Linked DNA regions of Oryctolagus cuniculus. The protein of the gene in region 2 interacts with the protein of the main gene of each other region in a pairwise test. Links are inferred from orthologs where the notes say so. Each region holds a gene or a part of one and is shown on either strand. Other genes may lie near its edges.

Evidence for each region. The genes of interacting proteins can lie anywhere in the genome.
Region 1: the proteins of ARMC7 (region 2) and TNFAIP1 interact in binary tests that used the Homo sapiens proteins (3 or more experiments, as listed by UniProt). The link is inferred for Oryctolagus cuniculus from reciprocal best matches to the Homo sapiens genes ARMC7 and TNFAIP1.

The regions. Positions count from the first base shown.
Region 1 is NC_091448.1:43,886,409-43,892,735, forward strand, and holds the start of TNFAIP1 (BTB/POZ domain-containing adapter for CUL3-mediated RhoA degradation protein 2), read left to right. Parts: upstream 1-1,462; 5' UTR 1,463-1,664; intron 1,665-4,486; 5' UTR 4,487-4,598; coding exon 4,599-4,803; intron 4,804-5,308; coding exon 5,309-5,478; intron 5,479-5,849; coding exon 5,850-5,939; intron 5,940-6,014; coding exon 6,015-6,067; intron 6,068-6,327. UniProt on the Homo sapiens protein: Substrate-specific adapter of a BCR (BTB-CUL3-RBX1) E3 ubiquitin-protein ligase complex involved in regulation of cytoskeleton structure.
Region 2 is NC_091448.1:5,402,379-5,410,646, reverse strand, and holds the start of ARMC7 (armadillo repeat-containing protein 7), read left to right. Parts: upstream 1-2,916; 5' UTR 2,917-3,112; coding exon 3,113-3,203; intron 3,204-3,689; coding exon 3,690-3,833; intron 3,834-5,197; coding exon of another isoform or gene 5,198-5,226; exon of another isoform or gene 5,227-6,514; intron 6,515-8,034; coding exon of another isoform or gene 8,035-8,063; exon of another isoform or gene 8,064-8,268. UniProt on the Homo sapiens protein: As a component of the minor spliceosome, involved in the splicing of U12-type introns in pre-mRNAs.

The DNA.
Region 1 (6,327 bases), about 38 Mb from region 2:
ATGGGAGACCAGGATGGAGTCCCAGGCTCCTAGCTTTGGCCTGGCCCAGCCCCACTGTTGCAATCATTTGGGGGGTGATCCAGCATAGCAAAGATTCTCTAACTCTACCTTTCAAACAAACAAATCTTTTTTTTAAAATAATCACTCTGGGGGCTAGCACTGTGGCACAGTAGGCTAAGCCGCTGCCTGCAGTGCCAGCATCCCTTTTGGGCGCCGGTTTGAGTCCTGGCTGCTCCACTTCTGATCCAGCTCTCTGCTATGGCCTGGGAAAGCAGTGGAAGATGGCCCAAGTGCTTGGGCCCCTGCACCCGTGTGGGAGACCTGGAAGAAGCTCCTGGCTCCGGATCGGCGCAGCTCCGGCCGTTGCAGTCATCTGGGGAGTGAACCAGCAGATGGAAGACCCCTCTCTCTGTTTGTAACTCTACCTCTCAAATAAATCTTAAAAATAAATAAAAAACCACTCTGCCTCAGAAGACCAGGAAGGCGAGCACACCTACTGTGTTCATCACTGCAACCCTAGCACCCAGCACGGTGCCTGCACAGTCGGCACTCCGTGGACATCTGTGGGATGACCAGTGGCTGTGCAAGCAGCCGGAGGCCACTACAGCAGCCCAGCACCTGGAGGCCGGCGTTCTGGGTTGAGATGTTTCTGTAAGTCGATTTGCTAGGACTTAGAGGGGCTTGACTGGAGGAGGGGATGAGTGAAGCGGTCGGGCATGAATCCCTTGCACCTGGGAGGGGTAGCTGAATGAGTCACCTGAGACGGGAGAAGGGTTGAAGGAGAGGCTTCCCAGCTGCCCATCAGATTCCATCCCAATTCCCACTACACGCGGCGGAGCGCCGGGGTGAGGGCGGAAACGCCTCACCACGATCCATGCTTGGCATCAGGCACAGGCCCCGTTCCTGGGGTTGGAGGAAGCACGAGGCTGAGTCCGGAGGGCCTGACACTGTCTTTACTGCGCAAACCCGTTGGATTTACACGAGTCCCCGCTTCCTAAGACCACGCTCAAGCTCCAGGCCCAACCTGAGTGTGAAACGCTCGCGAAGGGACGGGCGGAATTCCTAAGTTTCTTTCAGCCTGGAACAGCCTTTCCTCAACAGCGGGTCTGTCCAGTTCCTCTAGACCCAGCTGCCCCCGACCCGAGGTCACGACCTACCTGCCCACCCGTAGCGGTGGTGCGCTGCGGCCCAGGCTGATGTTGACAGGCAGCTCCTCTCGGCGGTGGGCAGCAGTCAGTGCCTGGCCGGCTCGCCTCTCCTCAGCCGCTGCCACGGCTACAAAACCTGTTTATCCACAACGTCACTTCCGGACACCGGAAGCACTCACACCCGTTCATCCTACAGGGCCTGCTGGGAAACAGAGGCCCGAAGGGAAGGATGACTGCCTACAAGATCCAGAGGCCTTTGCGCCTGCAGGGCTACCGGAAGTGGCTATGCTCTTGCCCGGAAGATCCTCCGGGAATTTCCGCCTCCCCTCCCTGTTAGAGTGCTGTGCATGCCGGGCTTTGTAGTCTCAGGCTTATGGCCCGCTGCTCCGGGAGGAGTCGACCGGCGCAGGATGTGAGCTCACAGCTCGGGATTGCTGGCGGGCAGGCAGCCACAGGTCAGAGACGGCACGGAGTTCGCTCGCCCCCCAGCTGAGAGGAGAGGAGCCCCCGGCGACGGTGAGAGTCGGGCCTCGGCTGGAGCAAAGACTGCCCGCCGGGTCCTGGGAAGCAGGGGTGGGACGGCGCAGCGGAGATGCAGAGCTGGTCTCGGTTCCTTGGTAGTGAGGGGGGCGGGCTGGGCAAGAGCCTACGCTGGCCACGGGAGAGGCTGGCCGTGGCCGAATTTCTCCAGGACCTTGCAGCCTAAGCCTCACACCTAGGATTTCTGCTGGGTCCACCCTCTATAGCCAAGATCAGCTCACGGCTTCCCCAACACCCACCCGCCCCCGGCCCCCCGTGCGTGACGGGTTTCTAGATCCTTCTTCCTTTGGGATCCAACCGCGGTCCACCGCTTTGGTTGTCTGCCTTTTGTTCGCAGAGTGGGAAATGGATCCGCCCCTAGCCCCAGGCATCCCCAAATACCCACAAAGTCCGGAAGGAAGAGTATTGAGTGGAAACTTCATTGTCGCTGGAATTACTTTCTGGGGCGGCACCTGCCGCAGGATTCCTGGAACTCATTGGTCTGAATGGAATCTGAGCTGACGTCAGCCAGGAACAGTTGCTTTGCAGGAAAGGAATAGATTAGCTGTGGATTTGTCTTCCTCTCCTGGCAAACCGCAGGCTTTCAGTACCTTTGCTTTGGGAGAAAATGCATGTGTTTTCTTTGACCTTGTTAAAAACTTTTCCTGGGTGGACTGATTGGTTTGGAGTCGGTGGGAGGTTAGGTCATCCGCTGTCCCAGTGGAGGTCTCGGCAGACTCCTGTTGAGGGCTTTTCTCATCCACACCGCATGCCTGCACAGTTCATCACTTCACAGGACACCCACTCTGGCCCTTTTGGGACATTCTTCCCAGGGACCTGCCTAAATCTTTTCAGGGACAATTTCAATCTGACGAACTGCCATGGACTTCAAAAGGTTCGTGGGAAGTCAAATTAAGAAAAATTTATTTTGGTGGAGAAAACATCTTGAAATCCATGTATAAAAGTGCAGGCCAGTGTGCAGAAAGACCGCGTGCGGAGTGGAGCGGCACAACTGGGGACACCAGTGCCATTTGTGGGCTGCACTTGGCGAGGCACACCGTCAGCTCCCGCGTGTGAGCATGGAGGGAGAGGATTCTGCCTTTTCTCTGCCTCTGTTCCCCCTGTGCTCCAAGTCTTCACCACTTTATGCCTGCACTACTGCTTCCTCTGGTCCTCCCACGGCCTCTGCACCCTTACAATCCATTCTCTACACCGCACCCAGAAGTATGGTTGCGATTATCTCACTCACCTGCTTAGAACCCTCCAGTGGATTCCTGCACTGCACTGCACTTGAAATAAAGCCCCAGCTCTTGGGCACCAGCTAGTACCCGCCTGCCTGCCTGCCACGGAACCAGAGTCAGTGCCAACTCCTATTTTCCTTTTTAAGTTCGTTAACATGAGGATGCTTAATTGAACTCCTTGAAAGCAAAGACTGTATTTTTCATTGTTCCCTACTGTTTCACAGGGTTGGCAGTCAGTAGTTTCACTGCTAAATGAATTAAATAATATACATTAAATGCCTAGAATAGTGCGTGGCACATGAAAACGCGCCTTAAGAGTCAGCTATGACATTCTCTTTAGATGAATTTTAGCGCTTCTCTAGGAAGCCAGAAGCATAATGTGGACTTGCAGTCGCGAGGGTGACTGGGTGGCTCCCTCCGCTCCTCCCGCCTGAGAGCTCCTGTTAGTGCTTTAATTTATACATCATGGCTGGCACCGCAGCTCACTAGGCTAATCCTCCACCTAGCGGCGCCGGCATACCGGGTTCTAGTCCCGGTCGGGGTGCCGGATTCTTTCCCGGTTGCCCCTCTTCCAGGCCAGCTCTCTGCTGTGGCCCGGGAGGGCAGTGGAGGATGGCCCAGGTGCTTGGGCCCTGCACCCCATGGGAGACCAGGAGAAGCACCTGGCTCCTGCCTTTGGATCAGCGCGGTGCACCGGCCGCAGCGCACCAGCCGTGGCGGCCATTGGAGGGTGAACCAACAGCAAAGGAAGACCTTTCTCTTTGTCTCTCTCACTATCCACTCTGTCAAAAAAAAAAAAAAAAAAAGAATTTATACATCATTTAATTGCTTTCAGATCTGTCATCTGATGTTCTGGTTCTGCCTCCTCATTCTTGGTGGAAAGCTTGAGAGGACGAGATAGGGCTGGGCTCCCACTTAGGAAAAAGAAGTGAAAATAGACGTCCTGTATTTGTTCTGCCCTGGCCAGTGGTGACAATTTCAGGAACTTGGAGCATTGCCAAGAAAAGGGACGGTCAGGAAATCCAAGTGGAACCTAGGTGACACTGCCGAAGACCCTGGCTAGGTCCCCCAGTCTGACTCACTCCATTGTCTCCTGAAGCTGCTTTTACTTTCCTTTCAAAACTCCAGGTGACGCTAAAGCAAGCACGGGCCCAGGACGCTCCTGCACCTGGTATCTCTAGAAAGGAAGTCCACCCTGTCCCTGTGGCTCCTGGGAAAGTCCTAGTTTGGCTGATGCCCAGCAGGTTTGGCTGGAAGTCTGGGTTCCTAGTTACCCTAAGAGAATAAATGGAATTCTGACTGGTAGATGCCCAGCAGGGGCTGTTCCTCAGGCCTAGGGCTGGCTTGTCTTCTTGCCACCTGAGGTGAGCTGATTCCAGGGAGCCTGGCAGGATGAGGCGGGCAGGGCTCTGGGAGCCTGTGCTTGTCTCTGGGGCGGTGAACAGCAGCAGGAAAGTCCAAATGTCGCCTCAGCAGCTGGGCTTGTTCCGGAGACGATGAGTGTGGCCAGGGCCCCTGCGGTTGCCCCTCCTGGTCCAAGGCCTCTATTCTGACTTCCATCTTCTCTCCCACTCACAGGGCTGAGCATGAGGTTCTGGCCTCCACGGGCCACTCACCTGTGACCACTTCCACCACGGCGGAGCCTTCCAAGCCTACCTCCTGCCGTGTGGTGATCTACCTGCAGCGGGAGATGTCGGGGGATACCTGTCTGTGCCCAGCCTCGGGGGCCAAGCCCAAGTTAAGCGGCTTCAAAGGAGGCGGGCTGGGCAACAAGTACGTGCAGCTCAATGTGGGTGGCTCCCTGTACTACACCACGGTGCGGGCTCTCACCCGGCACGACACCATGCTCAAGGCCATGTTCAGTGGGCGCATGGAGGTGCTGACGGACAAAGAAGGTGAGGCCCAAGGGCAGGGAGGGTGGGGAGGGGAGGACGGTTCTAGGGAAACAGCTCCGGGGTAGGGCTAGATCCCGAAGCCCGGCAGGTCCAGAACTACACTGCTTTCCTCTTCACCTGCAGTGCTCAGCAGAGCTTCCGAATTCTTTGAAATCATTACCTCTCATACTGGATAGTCACGGTTCCCACAGACAAGATCCGTACTTTTAAAATATTTAACTAGGACTAGATTTTCACGAGCCATCGCCAGTCTTGGGCTGTGGGCAGAAGGCAAGCAAGGAGCAATGGCTTCTGTGTTGCCAGTAGAGGCCCGAGGGCTCCCAAGAGCCTGCAGGCGTCTGTGCTGGCCCCCGTGCCAGTTCTTGGGTCCAGTGAGGGAGGGTGAAGAGCACTGTGGACCTGAGCACCCTGAGCTGCGGGCCGCTAGCTCGTCAGGCAGCCTTTGCCGGCTTCTGGGGTTCCGAGAGGTAGGAAGTAATCCTGTGGGGCCCATCTGAATCCCTAGGCTGGATCCTCATAGATCGATGTGGAAAGCACTTTGGCACCATTTTGAATTACCTCCGAGATGACACCATCACCCTCCCTCAAAACCGGCAAGAAATCAAGGAATTGATGGCTGAAGCAAAATATTACCTCATCCAGGGGCTGGTGAACATGTGCCAGACCGCCCTGCAGGTACGTGGCAGGGCTGGAGGCAGCTGCTGAGCCAGGCACTGCCCCTCCTTCAGGGATCTCAGGGTCCAGCTCCTGGGTGGAGGTAGCAGAGGAGGCACTGCCCAGGCCCAGCGACCTGGCGCCCAGCGCCTCACCTTAGCAGTACAGAGAGGCCTCGTTTGTTGATGTGCCCAGCCACCTGGGTTTTAGGCCTTCCAGAAAGGGGGTCTGCTTACTGCCCAGCAGTTCCTGTCTCCAGGGCCCTCATGATCTCAGTCAGATGCCTCCTCGCCCAGCCAAGGATGCCATGGCAGAGGGGCTCCAGGGTTACTTGGCTCAGACTGGCAAGCATAAATCCCAAGAGTTCTGTGCTCTGTATGCCACTCACGCAGGACAAGAAGGACTCCTACCAGCCTGTGTGTAACATTCCCATCATCACCTCCCTGAAGGAGGAGGAGCGGCTCATCGAGTCCTCCACCAAGGTACTGGGGCCCCCGGAGGGCTACGGGCAGGGACCCCAGGCCCCCGGCCAGGCCTGACTCCCTGCTCCCTCACAGCCCGTGGTGAAGCTGCTGTACAACAGAAGCAACAACAAATACTCCTACACCAGGTAGGCTGGCCGTCCCTGGGGCAGCGCTGCGGGAGCCGCTAAGAGGGCCAGGGGATGGCACTGACGGTGTGGCTCTGGGCCTCAGAACTGGTTCAAGTAAGGGGGGCAAGAATAGGGAGCGGAAGGGAAACTGGGACAGGGCCTGCTGGGCTGTGGGCAGTGGAACGTGAGCGCCACTGCAGCACGTCGTGCCCCACAGCGCGCCAGGCTGTCGGACGGAGCGGGAGGGGCCCCTAGGCCGCCCGCAGCCTCTCAGCCTC
Region 2 (8,268 bases):
CACGGACATCATCCCTCTTTGTGCTTCTTGGGCTTCTGGACAATTCGGAAGAGTTCACCCTGCTCCCGGGGCCCGCCCTACTCCCTCTTCCCAAGGGACCCAGGAGTCAGTCCCTTAGGAAGGCCAACACTGAGGGTGGGGCTGCCCCAGCCAGGGTTGCTGGAGCCCGTGAGAGGTGCTGAGTCGGCCCCAGGTGCAGGATGGGGACAGTTCACAGGTCCAGTGAGTGCCTTGCCTGGCCCTGTGCAGAGAGCAGGAGGGGAGCCCCTGGCTGGGGTCCCGGGAGTGAGGGGCTCCCCAAGAGTCTTAGAGTCTCAGCAGGACCTGACTCGGGGCCCCCCACCCTCAGTGGGGAAGAAGACTCTGGGGTGGAGAAGCCGGACACTGTCCAGGGGAGGGGAAGTCTTGCTGGGCAGCTTGAGGACCACTGTGAAGACAGGGCTGCTTCTCCAACAGACTCCCGCCCCCTCCGCCCCTCCGCCCCTCCGCCCCTGCTGTGTCAGAGGGGTGAACCCCAGGCTGAGCAGCTGGCTGGGCCAGCTGCCTGGCCACCCCTGCTCCCTGCACTGTGCCCTGGAGGGCAGAGCCCTCCCCGCCACAAACACGTTGCTGGCGCCCTTCCCTGAGGTCGCCACCCCCCTGAGCGCCGGCTGCCGTCAGCCCAGGCTTGTCCCAGCAGGGAGCCGGGGGAATGGGAAAACACAGTGTGTTTGAATTGCACACACGACCATTCCCTGCAGCCAGTCATCAACTCCGAGCTAATACAGCTGGAAGGCAGGCCTGGCGTGAGAGCCCCCTCCTCTTTCTCCCAACCTGGCAGGGGCTGCCCGGGCTCAGGCCCTTGTTTGTTGACTCAGGCTCAACCAGGCTCCAGCAAGAAAATGTTATCAGGAGGATTGATTTTATTTTCATGACCCAGCCTCAGCCTGCCTCCATCACGTGTGCTCTAGCGTGAATAAGCATCCTTGGGAATGGTCCGCGAGCCAACTCCAGGACTCTGCCATGAGTGCCCCCTAATGGCCAAAGGAGGCAGTGCAGAGGCAAAGCCAAAGACGGCTGGGATAGAGGTGGGATTTCACTTTTGTGCCAAGATACGCTGTGTGACTTCAGGCAAACGGTCACCATCTCTGGGCCTTGGAAAGGGAAGGAGTTAACCTGGAGAGTTAAGCCTCTTCCAGTCTGGAGAGTCTGGATTTGAGTGTATTGAAGCCACACCTTCGGGCTCCCCGTTCATTCCTGTGCTTGGCCACAGGCATAGCTTGTGCTCTCAACAAGACCGCTTGGACACATCTCCCCAGGGTCTCTGCACCTGGACTGGTGGGAAGGGAGCGAGCAGGGGCGGCAGGCAGGTGCATTTGGTGCTGGTGTGCACCAGGCTTTGATGAGGTGTGCAGCCCTGTGCCACTTCCACAAAACAGGGGAGTGAGCACTCAGCACAGAAAGCGAGACGCTCGCCTGCCCCCAGGAAGGATTGGCAATAACCCCCAGGCAGAACCCCTCCCACACACACTTACGAAGCACCACCGTGCGCCAGGCACTGGGCAGAGAGGGGCAGCAAGTTCTGCACAAAACCAAGGATTGGGAGTTCTCCAAGCAGGCCCTGAGGCCTTAGGAAGGGATAAGACCAGACACTGGGGGAGGCTGGGTTGCCCATCGGGCACCAAAACCTGCGGGTGTTTTCCTGGGAAAGCAGTTCCTGGCCAGAGAAGGGAGGAGCTCACCTCCGTGTGCCCTCAAGCCCCAGGCTCCTGGTCCCCAGGCCTTCGCTGCTCTGTCCAGCAACAGGCGGGAAGTCCCCTGGCTAAGACACACTTTCCCAGGCCATCCAGGATCCCCACAGAGTCAAAGGACAAAGGGCAGCTATGGTACCCAAGCACCAAGGCCAAGGTCAGAATGGCGCTGTGGCACAACTGGTTAAATCCACGGCCTATAGTGTCGGCATCCCATGTGGGTGCCGGTTCGTGTCCCAGCTCCTCCACTTCCAACCCAGCTCCCTGCTAATGTGCCTGGGAAAGCAGAGGAAGATGGCCCAAGTCCCTAGGCCCCTGCACCCACACGGGAGACCCAGAAGAAACTCCTGGCTCCTGGCTTCGGATCGGCACAGCTCCGGCCGTTGCGGCCATCTGGGGAGTGAACCAGCAGATGGAAGACCTCTCTCTCTCTCTGTCTCTACCTCTCTCTCTAACTCTGTCTTTCAAATAAATAAAATAAACCTTTAAAGAAGAAGAAGGTGTGCATAGGGCAGGGCTGCAGCCTGCGTCCACCGCAGCTGTACTTGGCCCAGGGATGCAGCCACATTCCTTGGCCCCAGGAGCTCACAGCTCCAAGCACCATGGGGATGTGGCAAGGCCTCCTTTCCTGGTGCTGTTCTCTCCTGAGAAGCTCCGAGGAGTCAGACCAAAGGGCTTCAGGATCCCGGGCCCAACAACGCAGAAAGCTGCAGCGGTCCACAGGGGCGAGCTGAGGCTCCTTCCAGGGCCCTCCGGTGCTGCCCGGGACAACCCAGCTGTCAGAGGCTTAGGGCAGGACCCCAGTCCTCGGGACTTCGGGTCAGAGGTGGAGGGCCCCAATGGGGTCAGAGCGGAGTCGGCCGGACTTGAAATCCTGAAGGGTCGCAGGGAGCCGACGCTGAGGCTCCAGGGGGACGTCTAGGGGAGAAGGCTGGGCTGCGACCGCCAGCGGGTGTGGGGAGTGTGCGTCTGCCTCGACAGCCCCCTATGTGGGCACCCCCAGATTCTGCGGCACTCCTGGGTCGCCCCGGCTCCTCGCCGCATACCCGACCGCGCACCTGTCTGCCGCGCGCGTCCCCGCGGGCCCGGAGCTCATTGCGCACGCGAGCCGAAGAGCTCCGTGACGGCCCCGCCCCTTCTCGCCTCGCCCCGCCCCGTCTCTCCCCGCCCCGCCCCTTCCGCCCTCCGGGGGCGGGACTAGCGCGGCTTCCGGCCGGGACTCTGACAGGATCCTGAGGGTCCCGCCTCCCACTTGCCGTTTCGAGCTGCGGATTCTCGCAGGACCTGAGCCCCCCGGCCGCTGCGGTGAGGGTCTCACGCGGCTGTCCAGGCTGCCTTCTGCCCTTGTCCCACCGGGCCCAGGAGCGCTCGGCCGCCCCGCCATGGCCCAGAAGCCCAAGGTGGACCCCCACGTCGGGCGGCTGGGATACCTGCAGGCGCTCGTCACGGAATTCCAGGAGACCGCGAGCAAAGGTGAGAGCCGCGGGTGGGCGCCGCCGCGAGCCGAGGGGAGAGCCGAGGGGAGGGCGCGGGTGGGCGCCGCGAGCCGAGGGGAGAGCCGCGGGTGGGCGCCGAGGGGAGAGCCGCGGGTGGGCGCCGCCGCGAGCCGAGGGGAGAGCCGAGGGGAGGCCGCGGGTGGGCGCCGCCGCGAGCCGAGGGGAGAGCTGAGGGGAGGGCCGCGAGCCGAGGGGAGGGCCGCGGGTGGGCGCCGAGGGGAGAGCCGAGGGGAGGCCGCGGGTGGGCGCCGAGAGCCGAGGGGAGGGCCGCGGGTGGGCGCCGAGAGCCGAGGGGAGGCCGCGGGTGGGCCGGCGCGAGCCGAGGGGAGGGTCGCGGGTGGGCGCCGGCGCGGGGGCCGAGGGGAGGGCCGCGGGTGGGCGCCGCGAGCCGAGGGGAGGCCGCGGGTGGGCCGGCGCGGGGCCGCCGCCCGGGACCGGCTCCAGGGTCGCTTTCCCGTTGCAGACGCCAAGGAGCAGGTCCTCGCCAACCTGGCCAACTTCGCCTATGACCCCAGCAACTTCCAGTACCTGCGGCAGCTTCAGGTCCCGGATTTGTTCCTGGACTCGCTGTCGGAGGAGAACGAGACCCTGGTGGAGTTCGCTATGGGTAAGGGGGGCCGGACCCGACACCTGCGGGGCTGCCGCGCGATGGGAGGGTTGCAAGGGAGTCGTCGGCAAAGCGGCCTTTAGGGGCCCCCCTTGTCGCCCCACAGGCCATCAGGTCACAGCTAATGTGCGGGAGTGCGGGGGTCCCACCCAGGCCCCACCCTCTGCCTAGAGATGGGATCGCAGACAGGGAATGGGAGGGAGCAGCTTGGAGGTGGATCTTTAATGCGACGATAATGTAGACTTTAAAGTCTTTGTCGTTTACTGAAAGGCAGAGAGAGAGAGATTGAGAGATTGCACCCACTGGTTCGCTCTGCAAATGGCCACAACTTCTCCCAGGTCTAGGCCAGGCCAGGCCAGGGCCAGGATCCGGGACCTTCATCCCTCAGGTCCCCACAGGGGCAACAAGGGCCCAGCACTGCCTTCCCGGCTGGATCAGAAGCAGAGCAGCTGGGACTTGAGGCAGGACTCCCGCCAGTTGGCCCACTGCGCCCTCATCCCTGTCCTCGTGCAGAAATGTTTGAAGTCCATACATAGGTTTTTTTGTGAGACTTTTTCATGAACTTGTAATTAATTAATTAATTTGAGAGGCAGAGAGACAGACAGAGCTTCCATCTGCTGTTTTACTCCTCAAATGACAGAAATAGTCAGGGCTGGTCCAGGCCAAAGCTGGGGGCCAGGAATTCTATCCAGGTCCCCCCCCATGAGTGTCACGGATCCGACTACTTGAACCCCTCATACAGTGCCTGCCCAGTGAATACAAGGATATTTCAGCAAGTTAATGGGAAGTGGAGTTAAAATATAAGGGTGTTTTTGGTGCAATTAAAAAAATTAAATTTTTTTCATAATGCACATATTCTATGAATTTTTAAAAATATTTCCCCCCACTCTACTGTACTCTTCTCTTCCTTCCTTCTTTCCTTTTTTTCTTTTCTTTTTTTTTAAGATTTATTTTATTTATTTGAAAGAGTTAGAGAGGTCTTCCATCCGCTGGCTCACTCCCCAAATGACCGCAGCAGCCAGAGCTGAGCTGATCCAAAGCCAGGAGTTTCTTCCAGGTCTCCCACATGGGTGCAGGGGCCCAAGGACCTGGGCCATCTTCTATTGCTTTCCCAGGCCACAGCAAGGAGTTGGATCAGAAGTGAAGCAGCCAGGACTTGAACTGGCGCCCATATGGGGTGCTGGAGCTGCAGGCCAGGGCTTTAACCTGCTGCACCACAGCGCCAGCCCCTTTTTTAAAAAAAAAAAAAATTTACTTATTTGGGGGACCAGTGCTGTGGCACAGTGGGTTAAAGCCCTGGCCTGAAGCGCCAGCATCCCATATGGGTGTTGATTCTAGTCCTGGCTGTTCCACTTCCAATCCAGCTCTCTGCTATGGCCTGGGAAAGCAGTAGAAAACGGCCCCCCTGCACCCACGTGGGAAACCCAGAAGAAGCTCCTGGCTTCAGATCGGTGCAGCTCCAGCCATTGCGGCCATCTGGGGAGTGAACCAGCAGACGGAAGACCTCTCTCTCTGTCTCTACCTCTCTGTGTAACTCTGTCTTTCAAATAAATAAAATAAATCTTAAAAAATAAGTTTATTTATTTGAGGCCAGCACTGTGGTGTAGTATGCTAAGTCTCTGCCTGCAGCGTCAGCATCTCTTACGGGCACCGGTTTGAGTCCTGGCTGCTCCTCTTCTGACCCAGCTCCCTGCTAATGCTCCTGGAAAGAAAGCAGCAGAGGAGCGCCCAAGTGCTTGGGCCCCTGCACCCATGTGGGAGACCCAGAAGAAGTTCCTGGCTCCTGGCTCCTGATTGGCCCAATTCCAGCTATTGCGGCCATTTGGGGAGTGAACCAGCAGATGGAAGATATCGCTCTCTCTCTCTCTCTCTCTCTGTAACTCTGCCCTTCAAATAAATAAATAAATAATCTTAAAAAATATTTATTTATTTATTTGAATGGCAGAGTTATATAGAGAGGGAACAAAAGAGACAGAAAACAAGCTAGATATTCCATTGGCTGATTCACTCCTCGGATGCTGCGATAGCTGGAGCTGGGCTGATCTGAAGGCCAGGAATTTCTTCTGGGTCTCTCACATGGATGCAGGGGCCCAAGCACTTGGGCCGTCCCCTGCTGTTTTTCCAGGAGCATTAGCAGGGAGCTGGGTCAGAAGTGGAGCCGCTGGGATATGAACCTACGCCATTGTGCTGGGCCTTACAAAAATTCATATATTTATATATTTTTCATAATATACATATTCCATACATTTTTTGAGGATCCCCCTCACTTTTTAAAAGATATTTATTTATTTGAAAGGCAGAGTTGGCCGGCGCCGCGGCTCACTAGGCTAATCCTCCGCCTAGCGGCGCCGGCACACCGGGTTCTAGTCCCGGTTGGGGCGCCGGATTCTGTCCCGGTTGCCCCTCTTCCAGGCCAGCCCTCTGCTGTGGCCAGGGAGTGCAGTGGAGGATGGCCCAGGTGCTTGGGCCCTGCACCCCATGGGAGACCAGGAAAAGCACCTGGCTCCTGGCTCCTGCCATCGGATCAGCGCGGTGCGCCGGCCGCTGCGCGCCAGCCGCGGCGGCCATTGGAGGGTGAATCAACGGCAAAAGGAAGACCTTTCTCTCTGTCTCTCTCTCTCTCTCACTGTCCACTCTGCCTGTCAAAAAATAAAAAAAATAAAATAAAATAAAATAAAAAAAATGAAAGGCAGAGTTACAGAGAGAGAGGGAGAGATACAGAGATCTTCCATCCATTGGTTCACTCCCCAAATGGCCACAACAGCCGGGGCTGGGCCAGGCCGAAGCCGGGAACCAGGAGCTTCATCAGAGTCTCCCACATGGGGACAGGGGCCCAGGAACTTGGGTCATCTTCAGCTGTTTCCCTAGGCACATTAGCAGGGAGCGTGATCAGAAATGGAGCAGTAGGGACTTGAACGCACACCCATGTGGGATGCCGACATGGCAGGGTGCTGCTACACCACAACACCGGCTCCGCCCCCTCACTCTTTAAGCCAGGTTCTGTTCTGAATGTTGGGGAGATGTTGAGCAACGGGTTCTGCCTACAGGAGCTTACATTCTAGAAGGGGAGACGTGGGGAGCACATTAAAATGATGCTGCTCGGGGGGAAGTCAACAGGAGGGGGACAACTTCCGTGTTGGCCATGATGGGCAGGCACACTCGGCAGAGGTGCAGAAGCCGTGAAGGAGCAGAGGGAAAGCAGGCGCGGCAGGACGGCGGGGAGAGACCTGGAAAATGGCGCCAAACGAGGCTGCTGGCAGCGGAGCTGGCCAGGGCTTACATCTGACCGTGGGGATGAGTTTGGCATTTATTATGAGAGCAAACACAAATTATTTTTTCAGCATGCAGTTTTTAAGATTTATTTATTTGAAAGTCAGAGTTACACAGGGAGAGAGGAGAGGCAGAGAGAGAGAGGTCTTCCATCCACTGGTTCACTCCCCAGATGGCCACAATGGCTGGAGCTGTGCCGATCTGAAGCCAGGAGCCAGGAGCTGCTTCTGGGTCTCCCACGTGGGTGTAGAGGCCCAAGGCCTTGGGCCATCTTCTACTGCTTTCCCAGACCATAGTGGAGAGCTGGATCAGAAGTGGAGCAGCCAGGACTTGAACCGGTACCCATTTGGTATGCTGGCACTTCAGGCAGTGGCGTTACCAGCTATGCCACAATACCAGCCCTAAATATTTATTTTATGTATTTGAAAGGTGGTTACAGAGAGACAGAGTCAAAGAGAGAGAATCTTCCATCCACTGGTTCACTCCCCAAATGCCCACAATGGTCGGAGCTGAACTGATCTGAAGCCAGGAGCCAGGAGCTTCTTCCGAGTCTCCCATGTGGGTGCAAAGGGCCAAGGATTTGTACCATCCCCTGCTGCTTTCCTAGGTGCATTAGCAGGGAGCTGGATGGGAAGTGGAGCAGCCAGGACTCAACTGGAACCCATATGGGATGCTGGCACTGAAGGTGGCGGCTCACACCCTGGTATGGGTGCCTGTTTCGAATCCCGGCTACTCCGCCTCCAAGGGCACCTCTCAGGCGCCCTGAGATCTTGGCTCACTGAGCCCTCAGCCCTAGGGGAGGTTTGGGCCTGCTAAAAACAGGATTCAGGGACCAATGCTGTTAAGCTGCCACTTGGAAGTGATGCTGCATCTCATATGAGTGCCAGTTCAAGTCCCGGCTCCTGTTTCTGATCCAGCTTCCTGCTAATAGGCTTGGGAAGGAAGCTCAGGATGGCCTGAGTGCTTGGGCCCTGTCACCCGTGTGGAAGATCAGGGTGGAATTCCTGAATCCTGGCTGTGGCTTGGTCCAGACCTGGCTGTTGTAACCATTTGGGGCATGAACCAGCAGATGAAGATTCTCTCTCTCTCTCTCTCTCTCTCTCTCCCTCTCCCTCCCTCCCTCCCTCCCCCCTCCCCTCCCTCTCCCTCCCCCCTCCCCCCTCCC